Linked DNA regions of Schizosaccharomyces pombe. The protein of the gene in region 1 interacts with the protein of each later gene in a biochemical or structural test. Each region holds a gene or a part of one and is shown in the gene's direction. Other genes may lie near its edges.

Evidence for each region. The genes of interacting proteins can lie anywhere in the genome.
Region 2: the proteins of prp17 (region 1) and prp19 form a complex in vitro, tested with the Schizosaccharomyces pombe proteins (one study listed by BioGRID).

What each region holds. Positions count from the first base shown.
Region 1 is NC_003423.3:2,649,603-2,658,548, forward strand, and holds the start of prp17 (Prp19 complex WD repeat protein Prp17), read left to right. Parts: upstream 1-1,991; 5' UTR 1,992-2,043; coding exon 2,044-2,154; exon of another isoform or gene 2,155-2,195; coding exon 2,196-2,960; exon of another isoform or gene 2,961-2,999; coding exon 3,000-3,615; exon of another isoform or gene 3,616-3,658; coding exon 3,659-3,706; exon of another isoform or gene 3,707-3,745; coding exon 3,746-3,882; 3' UTR 3,883-3,942; coding exon of another isoform or gene 3,943-8,946. Other genes in the region: Mre11 complex BRCT domain subunit Nbs1, read right to left, coding at 1-621, 664-743, 783-931, 1,036-1,124, 1,163-1,216, 1,276-1,312; 1-phosphatidylinositol-3-phosphate 5-kinase Fab1, read right to left, coding at 3,943-8,946.
Region 2 is NC_003424.3:5,129,973-5,135,842, forward strand, and holds prp19 (Prp19 complex subunit, ubiquitin-protein ligase E4 Prp19), read left to right. Parts: upstream 1-3,250; 5' UTR 3,251-3,269; coding exon 3,270-3,327; exon of another isoform or gene 3,328-3,367; coding exon 3,368-3,472; intron 3,473-3,811; exon of another isoform or gene 3,812-3,957; coding exon 3,958-5,261; 3' UTR 5,262-5,370; downstream 5,371-5,870. Other genes in the region: RNA polymerase I upstream activation factor complex subunit Rrn5, read right to left, coding at 83-1,753; rRNA exonuclease Rrp17, read right to left, coding at 2,268-2,669, 2,717-2,822, 2,863-2,966; srb6 (mediator complex subunit Med22), read right to left, coding at 5,451-5,861. UniProt on the Schizosaccharomyces pombe protein: Probable ubiquitin-protein ligase involved in pre-mRNA splicing. May also function in DNA repair.

The sequences.
Region 1 (8,946 bases):
CATCAACGATGTTCTTTTGGATATGGCGTTGGGGTTGAATAATTTTTTGGGGGGTTGAATTAGAAGCAGTAGCATACTTTAACCTCTCAATTTCTTTTGAGATTAGTTCCCTTGAATTCCTTTCAATGATTATCTTCCATAGCTGCTCAATAGTTAAACAAAAGATACCTTCTGGGAAAGAAATCTTCTCAGAGTCATATACTGCGTTGTTTAATACAACGAAATCCGTTTTTGAAATCAATTCCTTGTCTATATCCCCAAGACTCATAAAGGTCGATATCCTCAAACCCAATAACTCCAATAAGTGGTGGGACTCACTCGACGTATTTAACATGGCGCAACTGAATCCTTCTAATGAATTTATGCAGTCTTCAGGAGATGACGGGAATTGATCGTTGTTCTTTATGATATTTTTAAAACATTCAAGCGCATCTGGCATTAGGCTGGCGTCTTCAATTACGGATTCTTTAACAGTTGATAGGTACTGAAGATAGCTATCATCTATAATTACAGTTTTTTTAAGAAAAGCATACATAGTTCCAACAGTTATACTGGACCCAGCTTGTCTGTTCATAACAAAGTGGGTAGTAGCATCGCTATCGCGTAGTCCAGTCGGTATACCTGAAAGTTGATAAGAAGTGAAAAAAAAAAAGACCGAAGTACCTAAGAGGTTTAAATTTGAAGCCCACTGGGATAACATTTCAGGGTTATCGAATTGTATACACATACTTCTCCAGTATGCACTTAAAGTTAGTAAATCATATATAGTCGATAAAACTTACTTTATCGTGAATGGACATTTACCCAGTTGTATTTTAAGATCTTTTTCTTTGTAAGAATCACCATTTTGACCAACAACTTTTTCATTAACCTTGGTTCCAAACTTCGTATCGAGGTCCTTTACTTCAAACTCGCATGGGCCACCGGTAAACTGTGCACATATTAGCTGGCATTGATTTAAAATATAAGAAAGATAAACATATAATAGAAATGAAAAATGAAAAGCTCAATATTTCCATTTAATTGGATACGTACGTAGTCTTTCTCACTTGGGGTCAAAATCGTAAAACGAGCATGGCGTTTACTAATTGATTTAGAAATCACTTGAATGTGGGACGAATCGTCTGCAATATTAGAAAATTAACAAAAATAAGAAACTTACCAGATACATTTCGACCTACAATATAAGTTCCTGGAAATAGTATCCGTGATTTTCCTGCTGTTTAGTACGTACAATACGGCCATAATGAAATTGATATAGCTAGTAAGAGATACCTTTTAGAATGTCACCCTCAGCCTCAATTATCCACATTTTTTCAACATAAAATTCTTTTTATTGAAAAAATTCAGAAACCAGAATGCTGTTTTCACAACTGAGGATGCATAGGTGCGTCGCTTTTAATTTTAGTACAATTGAAAGTAACAAAGTAACCCTTTATGATGTCCAAAAGCCCTTCGTTAAATTAGAAGCTAAATCTACTAAACCAATTCTTGAATTTGAATTGACAAAGCTTGCTTTTCAAAGCTTTCTTCAAGAAAAAGTTTAATCAACAAAAACTCTTAAAAAATTTATAATTTCAAAAAATTAGACTTACACAGGTTCTCTGTCCTAGCCTTGCAAACACAAAAAATACTGTGAGTACACTAGAAAATGAATTTACTAAAGGGGTAAACTATCGTACCAAAATGAAATTTTTAAAGTCATGAGCTTATGTGAGCAAACAAACTTCAATTAAATACTATTTATCATACGTCGTGTATATGCACTACTGGATAACTTCTTTTACAGTTTAAAAAAGTCCATGCCTCTTTAAATAACTAACTTTATTTCTAGTTTTTACTACATTCCTTTATTTTTTAATCAATGAATTATCTATTACCTATCCTAATAAGCAGAAGTATGAGTTAGCTGTAGTGTTTCATTTTCGCTAATTGATATTAGCCAGGAATCTCTCATCCTCGCTAAACCTCCCTACAGCTTAATCTTCCTTAAACCATTACCATACGAATTTGCTGGTTTCATATTCGCCGTTTGCAATTTCTATGTTGGTTGCAAACTATTCTAGTGATTCAGAAGAACAGGAGAATTCCCAATCGCCTAACATCCAACCTCTTCTGCATACTGAAAATTTAGCGCCAGCTGTGGTTGATAACGTATTTATCAAATGTTTTTTATAACATGCTAATCATTTTAGGTAAAGGATGATTTAATTGTTTCAAAGGGAGGAAACTCTAGAGAATTAGCGCGTAATGTCCCGGTTAATGAAATGGTGCAGCCTGCTTTAGGGCCTGCAAATCCATTTGTCACTAAAGAACAGGATTCTATAAAGAACAGTATTACCGGTTATGCTGAGAGGGAATATGTTCCAAATTTTGTATTTAATCAAGAATATTATGCTAATACACATGCTATTTATGGAAAACGAAATTTTGATGATAACGAAGCTACTACTTCTACAGATTTAAAAAGGAAGTCCCAGAAAATAAAAGAACGTAGAGAGGATCCTGGCGATCCATCTATCCTTGAAGGGGATGGTGCTTATAAGGGGCCATGGGCCGGATACGGTTCTGAACAATCCTCTTCACCTTTGGAGTACAGTGAATATGAAGAGGTTGAATCCCTGGATGTCAAAAGTGAAAAGGATACGGAATCTAATAACCTGGGTCAAAATGAATTATTGAAGGAACAATTAGCTACTCCAGAAGTTGAAACTCATCGCTCTAAAGAAGAGACTATACTTCATAAAGATAGATTATTTGATTATCAAAATAGAAGCTATATGCATGTCCCGAATGACGTCGGAATAAATTTATCGGAAGAGCCTGGTGAACAAACTTGTTACATTCCAAAGAAGCATATATTCACTTGGAAAGGTCATACGAAAGGTATTTCCTGCCTTAGGTTTTTTCCGATTAGTGGCCATTTACTTCTTTCTGGCTCAATGGATAATCAGATAAAGGTATGTTTGTAAGCAAAAAGATGATAAACTAATATTTAGATTTGGGAAGTTTACCATGACCGTTCTTTGCTTCGTACATTCCAAGGACACGCTCGTCCTATCCGCGATTTATCATTTAGCCAAGATGGACGATCATTCTTAAGTACTAGTTTTGATAAAACAATTAAACTCTGGGATACCGAATTAGGGAAATGTTTGAACTGCTTTAATTCAGATAGATTAACAAACTGCGTCAAATTCCAAGTAGATCCTGATAAACCCAACGAGTTTTTAGCAGGAACAGCTGACAAAAGGATCCTTCAATTTGATATCAGAAGTCCTGATATTGTTCAAGCATACGATCATCATCTCGGCGGAATCAATTCCATAACATTCCTTGAAAACGGAAAGCGCTTCGTTACCACATCTGATGACTCTTCAATGCGATTTTGGGAATACGGAACTCCAGTTCCTATAAAATTTGTGGCTGACATTGCAATGCATTCAATGCCTCGGGTTGCCTTACGGCCAAATGGAAAGTCGATAGCATGTCAATCTCTAGATAACTGCATTTACGTATATTCGGCATACGAGAAATATAGACAAAACAAAAAGAAGGTCTTTAAGGGATACAGTTGTTCAGGTTATAGCCTAGAAGTTGGATTTTCACCTGATGGTATGGCGTTCATTTTTTATTACGAATTTCTAACTAGTTTTAGGGAGATTTGTTTTTAGCGGAGATTCGAGCGGAAATGCCTGTTTCTGGGGTAAGTGCTTGGAATTGGAAAAACACCTAACATTTTTAGATTGGAAAACCTGTAAGCTAATGGCTAAACTCCCGGCTCATAGTGGACCCGTACAAAGCATGGCGTTCCACCCTCAAGAAACAAGCAAGGTAGCTACATCATCTATAGTTGATGGGTCTATCAAATACTGGGATTAAAAAGATTGTTCATATTTCTTGACCAAACAGCGAAATATATACATTAAACTAACGTTTCTTCTATTCGCAAAACTTAAAACCTTCCCCAGTCTCAAAATCCTGAGATGCTAAAATATAGCAATCCATAGCCTTTCGGAATCTATTTTTGTATTGCTTTGGAGTAACAATTGTTGGTTCAGGACCTCTACCAACTAAGCCTTTCTCCTTTACCCAACTTTCAAGTTTTTTGTCCCAAGTGTATGTTCGTATGAAATCAATTATTCCAACATAAAGTTCTTTTTTTGTATAATCAATACCAACAATTAAAGAGTAATCCATGATATTGAGTTTTGAGAGGAACAATGTATCATTCCAAAGGCAAGAATGCAAAAGACTTTTTAGTTGTTCACTAACAAATATTGGAGATTCGTAAATAAGTTCAACCAAATTTTCATCAAGCAATACTTCATCTACCTTCCCTGTAGATTCTACATGTCGATTCCTCATGGAACCTTTAAGATCAAATATTCTAGACGGACATTCATCATAAAATACATTTTCCATAATCATTATATCAGTCTTACAGATTGTACCAGTAGTAGGATTTCGAATGTCTACGCGGTAAAATCCAAAGATTTTAGTCAATGCAGTTGGCAACTCGTGAAAGAAAACTTTAGATATGTAATCAAAATAAGCTGGAGCAAAATTAAGCAAGGAGTCACTTTCCAACCTTGACAGAACTTTGAGAATGTATTTCTTATCGAAAGTTTTTAAAAATGCTGATCCAGATTTTCCACCGCTAGATTCCCAAAGAGAACATCTCGCTAGAGATGTCACAAACGTCTCCTCACAGCCACAAGCTCTTCGCAAAGCACTAAATTGTTCCGCGAAAAAGACCTTACAGGATAGTCTTGCTGATCCTTCTTCAAACTGGTATTTCAAATGCGTCCCCGTTGGTTTGAGCATTAAGTTTTCAATTTTGAATTGCGTCGAGCCTTGTAAGCCTTGATTGGTTAAAGCTTCGTCCATGCTATCTTCAATTTCTACCATTTTTGATAAATAGTCAGGAGAGCTAAGAGTAAAACTTATCAAGGAGCTAGGTTCGTCTTCCCTTATGATCACATTTGAGTCGGAAAACATATGCTCTGTAGGTTGTAGAGGAAATTCAAAAGGTGGAGGATTGAGGGAGTTCCATTCATTCCAAAATGCAGATAAAATCCTGTAAACTGAAGTTTTGTCAGCCAAAGGACCAGAAGTTGGCAACTTTGATCCCTCTTTATCCATTTGACTAGAAGGTTCAAGGTTTTGCTGTTCTTCGAGGCCAGATTCATTTTTGAAAAGAATTCCAAAAATATCTTCAAACGCTTCAGGTGAATTGTCTTCATTCGAAGAAACATTTTCTCGCTCCTTGCTCATAGAATCAACTCCAGAAAAATTGCTTTCGGTAGCGCGATTTTCTTTTGTGTCATTAATGCCATTCTCATCTTCGGAATTTTCATCATCAAATGCTTCATTAAGGTCATTAAATACTTCTACTACCGGCTTAGATGGGACTACAGGAAGAGCCCGCTTGCGTCGAGCCTTTATTAATTCTTCATCTCGTTTTTGCTTTTCTTGTAATTGTAAACTTAGCTCTTCAAATCTACGCACTAAAGAGCTAACCCGCACATCTTTTGCTGGAATGGGCTTCCTGGGTGAGTATTTTGTAGAATTCTGTATACTGGAAATTTTTGCAGATATTGAAGAAGAAATAGGCATGTTCATCCCACTTGTTGAAGATGCATTGACAAATCGCCTGTCACTGGTACTAGCACTTTTCCGCTTATGAGAAAGCATATTAACGCCTTGTCTTTGGCTTATATTTGGATACGTTTGTCTACTGAAACCTGAATTTGAGACCGGAGAAGCTGGAAAAGTGTTCTGAGTAGAAATATCATTGGTAAAATCGATGTTGGCTTTAGGAATATCGGAAGATGTTGCTACTGAAAAGCAATCAGATTCTGGAGAACCAACATTTGCCATACTATCTGCATACGGAGCAACACGCTTGTTTGAAGCAACATTAGTTTGGGTAACTTTCTCGAGTTGATCATCAGTGGATTCAGTTTTAAAGGAGGGATATATATCAATTTGAGTATTCTCAAGTGTCTCTGGCAAATCTAAAGGGGTTTGGCTTAATGGACGTTCCAGAAACACTTTCTTAATTTGAGCGGCTGCTATTTTACTTAACTCTTTGTAAGATGGAAGATACAGCCGTTGATAGTCAAGAAAGCGCTGTTCCCATTTTACCATTTTACCCTGGAGGACGCGCAGGATTGAGTTTAGTGATAAATAATCAGAAGTTGAGGAATTAAGATAAATTGAATCAAATTCAGAATACAATTCAGTATAGTCACTTGAAAGTAAAGTGCGAAATTTTGAAATTTCAGATGTACAAGACTCAAATTTCTCAGGATCAGTAACCCAATCGCACTTTATTTGGTTTATCCTTGAAGCAACAGAAGACAAGCATTTTTCAATGACACCTTTTAAACGTTTATACTCCTTTTCTTTCAGCTCTTTAATATATGATGGATTATTTCGTAAAGTGACCGATGGAACGAAGAGTTCAAAAATCTCTATTAGGTCTCTTTGAAATCGTAAAGCCATGTTGCAATAACCGAAATAATGAACATGTTGTGCCATAACACTGTGGTCACAGAATTCGAAGCGATCCCTTATTTGAGAATTATAGAACATGAATTCAAGATATTTTCCAAACGAATATTTCCATGTTTCTTCAGACATAACAGTAATGTGTGTATTCTTTTTACAGAATTTGCAGTAACTCCACATAATTATCTTTTCTTCCAAACCAGGGACAGGGCACGAAAAAGATTCCAAAAAAACGCTGATCCGACTATTTCCATGAACATAACTCCTGTAATGCCACAGCATATCATTCGTTTTACAATACTCACCTCCACAACTTACATTGGTATTCAAGCATGAGTCCTCTATGTACTGACCAAGAGTGCAATCAGTTTCTCGATAAAATTCTAATAGACAACGTTCAGGGCCAATACAAGGAACAGAAGTTTCCTTGTTAATAATGGAATATAACAAAATAATCCTTTGAGAAGAAAATGGAGAAAACATGAGTTTTGAATGAGAGTAATAAAGTGTCCACTGCTTTTCTAAAAAATGATAACGTTCATCAATACAAAAGAATTTATAGGACTCTTCGTAACTTTCTTCTACATTGTCATTTTCGGACTGCTTCATTACGAATGAGCCAGTTGGTGAGTATGGATGTAACTTCACATCTTTCAGTAATTTGTTACGAATAAACTGGTAATAATTAACTTGGTTTAATAAACGTGGAAGAGGCTTTGATAAAAAGGGTGAAAACGTTAAAAATCTGGTTTTCAAAGCCTTGGTAATAGAAGAATAGTCATCTGAGGCTGGTAAGTTATTGATCAACTCAAGCGGGCTGTTGCTACCTTGGGTGCTAGAAACACTTTGATTTTCATTTTCCAAAGGTCGCAAACTTTGATTATCACTGTTCAGAGATTTTTTTTCATGATTTTGGCTTTTCTCTTTATCAGCTGCAGTAGAGGCAAACGAAGGCAACGATTTCCTAGACAAACTTTGATAGGTTGTTTCAAAAAGCTCCGGCATATTCACAAATTTGTCTCTTAACAAGGCACATTCAAGTTTGATATGATATGCAATCAAAACAACAAGTTCGACAATCTTCTTGACCTTGCTCAACTGATTATAATCAGCTCCTCTTAGAACTATGGTGCAGCCTAAACGTTCCGAGCAGCGATCAAGTATAGCAAACGTTTTCCTCAACCCTTTGTTTTCATCGACAACATACGTTCTGAGTTGAAACCTGCCGCAAGTACCAAGACGAGGACAAAGCGACAATTTATCTATTGACGATATTATGTCTGCACGACAACATCTAGCTATGTCATATAAAACTGATTCTTTAAGTCCATGAAAGGCTATAACGCCATGTTCTTCAAAGTACTTCAAGGCAATACTGGGGATTTGACCCTGAGCAAAAACTAGATTCGGTTTAAGCATGCAGATTCTATTGACAAGATTTATAATATACTCTTCTTGCTGAGAGATGATTAAATCCAAGGATAAAATTCTCTGTTCGTCACAAGCGTAGTCTAAACTGAAAGTTAAAAGAGCTATACGAGGCCGACGAAGCGAGCGGTCCATAGATTTGGACGAAGCTTTTTTTGAGAACAAAACACCATTAACAAGAAAACAATCTTGAATGCTTCCCCCGGGAATCTTTTTTATTTTTACATAGCTGCGGACATCAATATCATCACCAGAGCGAATATCAGGACCTAGATCCAAAGCCATTTTTAAAAGAATTTTTGGGAGACAAAGTACCCATTGCATAGGCGAATCCACACCCTCATCATTTAGCATTTGAAAGAGTAATTTTCCCAGAAAAGTACATACAAGCTGATTAAATGAATCAGAGAAGAGAATCCAAGGTGGTAAAATACATGTGCTTTTGGAAGAGGTAACTACAGAAGAAGCACGCGACTTTCCCTGGTAAGGAAGAGGCTCTTCTGTTCCACCGGGATGATTCACCTTATCAACTCGCGCATTGAAGTTTTCAATTAAAGCGGGAAGTCCATCGGGAATAGTAGAAGAAGGAAAAAGATAGTCGCAAACCGTTTTCGGAAGAAAAGCTTTTAAAAAATTTGATAAGTAACTTTCATTACCGTAACGCTGAATTGATGCAACATTTTGCTGGCGTTGCTTAATAATTGCACTATTGGCATGAAAAGAAAGGCCCAATCCATCATTGAATAGTGATTCATCGTCGGAGTCGGAGAAATGATGATAGGAATTGCCCGAATCGGCCAAACCCCGTTCATCAGTCAAGGAAGAACTTCTTGAAATAAAGGGTTCATTTATTACTGTGCTCAATCGATCGTAAGACGTTGCTTTTATATTTGGAGAAAGGTTAACAAATGAAAGGCCTCTGTCGCCTTTGCTAAAATCCTCGAGCCGGTTTCTTTCATCAGCCGACAAGTACATATCAGAGACTTTCGCTGAGGAAAACGC
Region 2 (5,870 bases), on another chromosome or scaffold:
GCTATCCAACACAGAGGCAGCGCTAAAAAACAATTTATGTTTTTGTAAAGGCTTCAAGACTGTAGTTCGAAAATGAAGACATCTATTTTAAAGGGAGTGACAACTCCCAAGAAGAGACAGGTTTTGCAAGTTTCCTTTCAGGATCTTCTGTACTATTTGGAAGATTAGACAAATCATAGGATATTAACCCTACATATCCGCTTTCAAGTTCAGATACGACTTCAGCTGCACCCGGGGCATGGGAAACAACTGGATCCTTGTAATAATAACATATAGGTTGAACTTCATCATCACTATCGGAATGTTCGTCAATGTTGTGCAAGCTCTTGGAAGTTATTTTAAGAGTCGTAAACACGTCGGAACCTTTTAACTTGTCTTTCATTCGCTTTTGAGCCAGCAAATTACTAAGTGGTATAGTTTCAAAAAGAGCGTCCTCTGTCGACATCTCATCGGTTAAATGCAGCACATATTTCCAAACAAAGCTTTCGTAGTTTTTGGATTGAATCATGTCGTAGGCTTCGACGCTGTCATCAATTTCCACAAGACTTTCTTCTGCGACACTTTCATCCATGAACATTTGAGCATTATCAGGATACTCAGCCTGATTAACAGATTTCTTAAAACCATTGATGCTAGTCTCATCGGCGGGTACAGAATCTACCTTGCGCTTTACATCATGTTCTCCAAGGTTACCATCGCTTTCATCTGTCGAATGTTCCTTAGAATCAAAAAACATGGTGTTTTCGTTATTTTTTGTCTTCCGTGCTCTGACTCGTCCTAATTTCAGTTTTGATTGTCTTTCATCAGATTCCATTATGTGTATATAATTTTGAAATTTGAGACGTTTGTTTCTTTTGTAAACATTCATCTTTTGTCTAGTGGGTAAATACTTCCAAAATCCGGGTATATTGAATCGGTGAAATCGTAAAAATTTGCCTGACAGAACAACGTCTCTATTCTTGATAATAGGTTTTCTATGAAAGGCATTGTTAGCCTCTAGTTTCCTAAACCTAGACTCCGCCAAAAATATAGATGTTCCGATTAATTCCTTCAACTTGCTTTTAATGATTTGTAATAAAAACTCCGTAGCGCCAGCAGAAAGTGGATTGCTTGGAAAAGGCGCTTGTCGATCGAAATGATAAAACCGTTCAGAAATCTTTCTCATCTCATTTGTATCAAATAAATCCTCATTTGAGGTTTTGTTTTTGACACTTTGCGCATTATAGTGTGAAGTTTCAACCCCTGAGATATTCGAACCCTCAAGAAGTCTTTCCGCAATTTTTTCTTCCCAATCAATCCAATTCTGACTCATTTCCATTGCAATAGGTATATCTTCATATTTCAACAAACATTGACTGCGCACGGATGCGTCTACGTGATTACGAAGCCAACGTAGCTCATTCTCTAAGGCATTTATGTAACGCTCGATCTGCACAGCGCTTTTAGAAGGAATGGAGTAAGCTATCAAATCTAAATCTCTTTTCCCATTTCGAGCAACCGCTTGAAAAAACAGTTCTTTTTCTTCTGCACTCCAGTAAGTTCCATCCACACAAGAGCCACTAAGAACGCCCCATTGTTCTTCTTCCAAATCAAAGTCACGCTTATTTTCAGTCTCAACTTCGTATTGTTGAAGGACGTCTAGGTATCGTTCATCATGAGTCATGTACAATTGCTCACTTGAGCCAATGATAGATGCAGTGCTTAAAGGCGTTGACCCTTCACTCTCATTTAATCCGTTTATTGAAGAAGACATGTTATTATTGAGAACATGATCAACGCTAATGAAATAAAAGCTGTTGCAGTCTTCTTTTTAATATTTTTTTGTTTACCACATTACCAGACGTGGTTTGTGTTCTGACAAAGATCAAACTCGGTATTCTAGTGAATTTCGCTAATATACTAAAATCCAAAGGAATATATAAATGTAGAGTATCTCTAAAATTTACGGGTTTTAAACATAATAAAAAAATATAAATCGTGCTAAAATCTAGCTTACCGCTTATTGAGTACAAATTTTTTGCGCATGTACAAACACCTTAATCAAAACTGTGAACAAAAAATTGAAAAAGGCTGAAATGCATATATCAGACCAAGAAAAACTCCGTATATGTAATGATCTCTTGTAAAGTAGTTTGTTAACTTCCAAAAATTCTCAACCTGAAAAACGAATGGACAATTGAATTCAAATATCATTTTATACCAACCATATTCATAAATATAAAAAAAGGGCAAGATGCGTCAAACAACGTGTGCTTGAAGTTCCTAATTTAACGTCTTATTTTCTTCTTTAAACGACGTATTTTTTCTTTTCTTCTGTCCTGTGTACGTTCAAATTTGCTCTCATACCGAAATTTCTTTTTGGCGGCATTTTTAGGCTTGTGGGGACGCAAAGGAACATCTGGTGGAGGAGAAATACGAGGCGTGACAAAACCTTCTTTAGGATAAGCAATTTCTTCATCATCATCGTCCTCTACAATTTCTACCGTAACATGCTTATCATCTTCGTCATACTCAGTAGTTTTAGGCTCCATTGATGACTCTTCCTCGCTGTCAGATTTAGATGAGGAATCTTCTTGCTGTGAAGATTCTTCATCATTTTCTAGCGAGCTATTCAACTCTTTAGAGAATGCTAATCGCTCAGCCAGTTCTCTTTTGCGCTGTTCTCTGAGCTGAATAGTGTTAGTGATATACTCAAGATAGTATTAGAAAAACTTACAGATTTCCTCAACGCTAAACGTTCTTCGCGTTTTTGCTGCTCCAATTGAACTTGAGCATGCTTTCGTCGTTCAACTTTGCGTTTATGAAATCCAGTTAAATACTCTCTGTAACAAGTTAGTAGCAATCCCTTTATGATATCCATACTTTCGCTTCTCTTTATCAAAGACGATCTCCTCCAATCTTTGCTTCTTCCCTTTCTTCCTGCTGTAAATCTCACCTCCACGGGTTAGTAGAGATGTATTATCCATGATGCAACAGTTCGTGAGTAGCTAGAAGAGAGGGACAATTTATGGGAATCTGTAGTGATTTTAAGTAAATTATCTCCAATTCTATCCAGTCTCGTAATGGTCCAGTAGATTTATGAAGACGAGAGGTACTGAAACCCTACTATGCCTTGTACGTACATTTGCACTACTAACTAGAAAATTATTTGCAAAATGCATCGCATTTGCCTTATATTATATACGGATATTGGTATAGTGCAGTAAACGATTAGTTGGCTATGCATTGCTTTCCTCTAGCTATTACACACAGAAACCAACGTGTGCCGAATGTTTTGCTCAATCAGTGGAGAAACGCCAAAAGAACCGGTGATTTCTCGTGTAAGTGGTATGTTTGTACAATAATTTCCCTGTCTGACTGAATGTAGGAAATGTTTACGAGAAGCGCTTGATTGAACAAGTTATTCGTGAAACGTCTAAAGACCCTGTTACTCAACAGGAATGCACGTTGGAGGACTTGGTTCCTGTAAAGGGTAAGATTTCCTTCTTTATTATTGAATGGTTAAGAATTTCAAGTAGCACTTATTTTTTTATACGTGGAGTACTGAATATTCTGAAATTGGTTTGGAAAGTAAAACCCTGCAATATTGGTTGAAGAACTCGTTTATTTTCTTTTTTTTGTTGATAATGTATTTTATTGCATGATTGATTTGTACTCGAAATTTTTTAATTTTACAGCTTTATATTTCTCCTTAAAAAGTGGACTATTTAGTGCATGTCAATATCTCGGGGCAGAAATTAGGAAGGTTTTTAGAGAATTATAGAACAACCTTGTCGGATTTATCAAAACAAATCTTTATCAAAATTAATGTGGAGTTGTTGAGGAAAATGTATTAATACTTTAGATTTTTTTTGGTTTTTGCTCTCCAATGCGATTTATATTTACTATATTTTGATTGTACTGACCATTCACATATAAAGCGAATCAAATCGAAGATAATTGCTAACCTTTAAACAGTACCTGATTTTGTTAGACCTCGACCTCCTTCTGCCACTTCATTGCCTGCATTGCTGTCTCTCTTTCAAGAAGAATGGGATTCTGTCGCGCTTGAGCAATTTGAACTTAGAAGAAATCTTACAGAGACGAAGCAGGAGTTATCAACGGCATTGTATTCGCTAGATGCTGCGTTAAGAGTTATATCTCGGCTTACCAAAGAAAGAGACGAAGCTAGAGAAGCATTGGCGAAATTTTCCGATAACATAGGCACTGTTTCCTCGAAAACTATTGAAGTACAAGAGGTAGAGATGGGCGAAAGTGATGACCAGCTTAAAACTAGCTTACGCTCTACGGTGGAAAAAACATTTCAAGAACTTTCTTCCAAAAGGAAACGTACAAAGTTACAACCTAAATGGGCGACTGACGATGCTGTGAGTCAGCTCTTGCAAGCTACTCCTTCTACTATCTTAGAAAATTTGGAAACAGAAAGCACTACGTCTTTCTTCCCGTCCCCTGAAAATTCTTCTTTTGTATTATGTCTTCATAAGGATGAACTTTTATGTCTAGATATCCAATCCAACAGTACTCTCAAAATTTTTGAAGGATCAGCTTTAGCGTGTTGTTGGTTGACTTCTTCCAAGATTGCTGTCGCTACTGCTGATGCCATTTCAATTTTTGAATTTCCTGTTTCCTCATCTGGTTTACAAAGTGTGGGTGAACCTACTTCGTCCATTCCTATAGACGAAAAGGTGAACTTCCTTCAAGCTCATCCAAGTGGGGAATATTTATTAGCAGCATCAAACGAAAAGTGTTATATTTTCTCCCTGAAATCCCAGGTTTATAATATCACCGTTGCTCAACACATTACATCTCTTGCTGTACATCCGGACGGTAACCTCTTTGTCGCTGGGTTAGAGAATGGCGAGTTACGCTTTTTTGAGACTTCCTCGGGAAATGAGCTTACAAAATTTGGACCACATTCAAGTCCAGTTAAAACATTACAATTTGGTGAAAACGGTTATTGGCTTGTAGTAACAACTAATGATGACTCTGACATTTTCATTTGGGACTTAAGAAAATCTGAGCTTGTTCAAAAAATACCCCTACAAACCAAAGTCGCAGCAGTGTCATTAGATATTACTAGTCAACTTTTGGTAAGTTCGGATGGGGAGACTCTCTATGTACATATTTATGTCAAATCTTCAAAGTCTTGGAGATGTATGAGTCAAACCCATGTTTCCTCTATTTCTAATTTGGTTTGGTTAAATGAGTTACACCAGTTGTTGTTTAGTACTTCAAATGGAGCCATTCTCCGGTTGGGTTAACCCAATTTTTAATCCTTTAATTATGTGCTCCTCCATTAGGCTTTTCGTATTTAGTAAGATTTTGGCTCTTTAACTTAAGTGATTTCCTTCATAATGAAATATTTAGGCAAACTATTATTTTTCAGATAGATGTATCATTAAATTTTGACATTTGGTTTAATTGGCAAAAAATAATTTATGTGAGTTAACTCAAGTGTCAGAAACAGTGGGAGCCTCAGTTGTTTCTGATGCTTCTGGTTCAATTAAACTGACTTCCAGTAAATGATTTTGTAGTTTAGTAAGAGTTCTTTTAACTTTCTCAAGATCAGGCTCGCTGTAATCGACAGTCGGAAAAGACGTGGAAAGAGAATTAGTGAGCCAATATGATTTAATTTGTCGAGAAACATCCAGTAACTGTTCTACCGCGCGAACCATGGACACAGTATGGCATTCAATCTGGTAAACCTCTGGTGCTACCGTATATTTATCTTTGCCTTCATTTATAGCAATATCCAGTATGTCTTGAAACCTTGACAAAATAGTTAGTGTAGCATTGTCAATAGACGAATTTAAAGTATTAGTTCGCTGAACTAGCTGCCGTTGGAAACTGTCTGAAGACATACTAGCTTT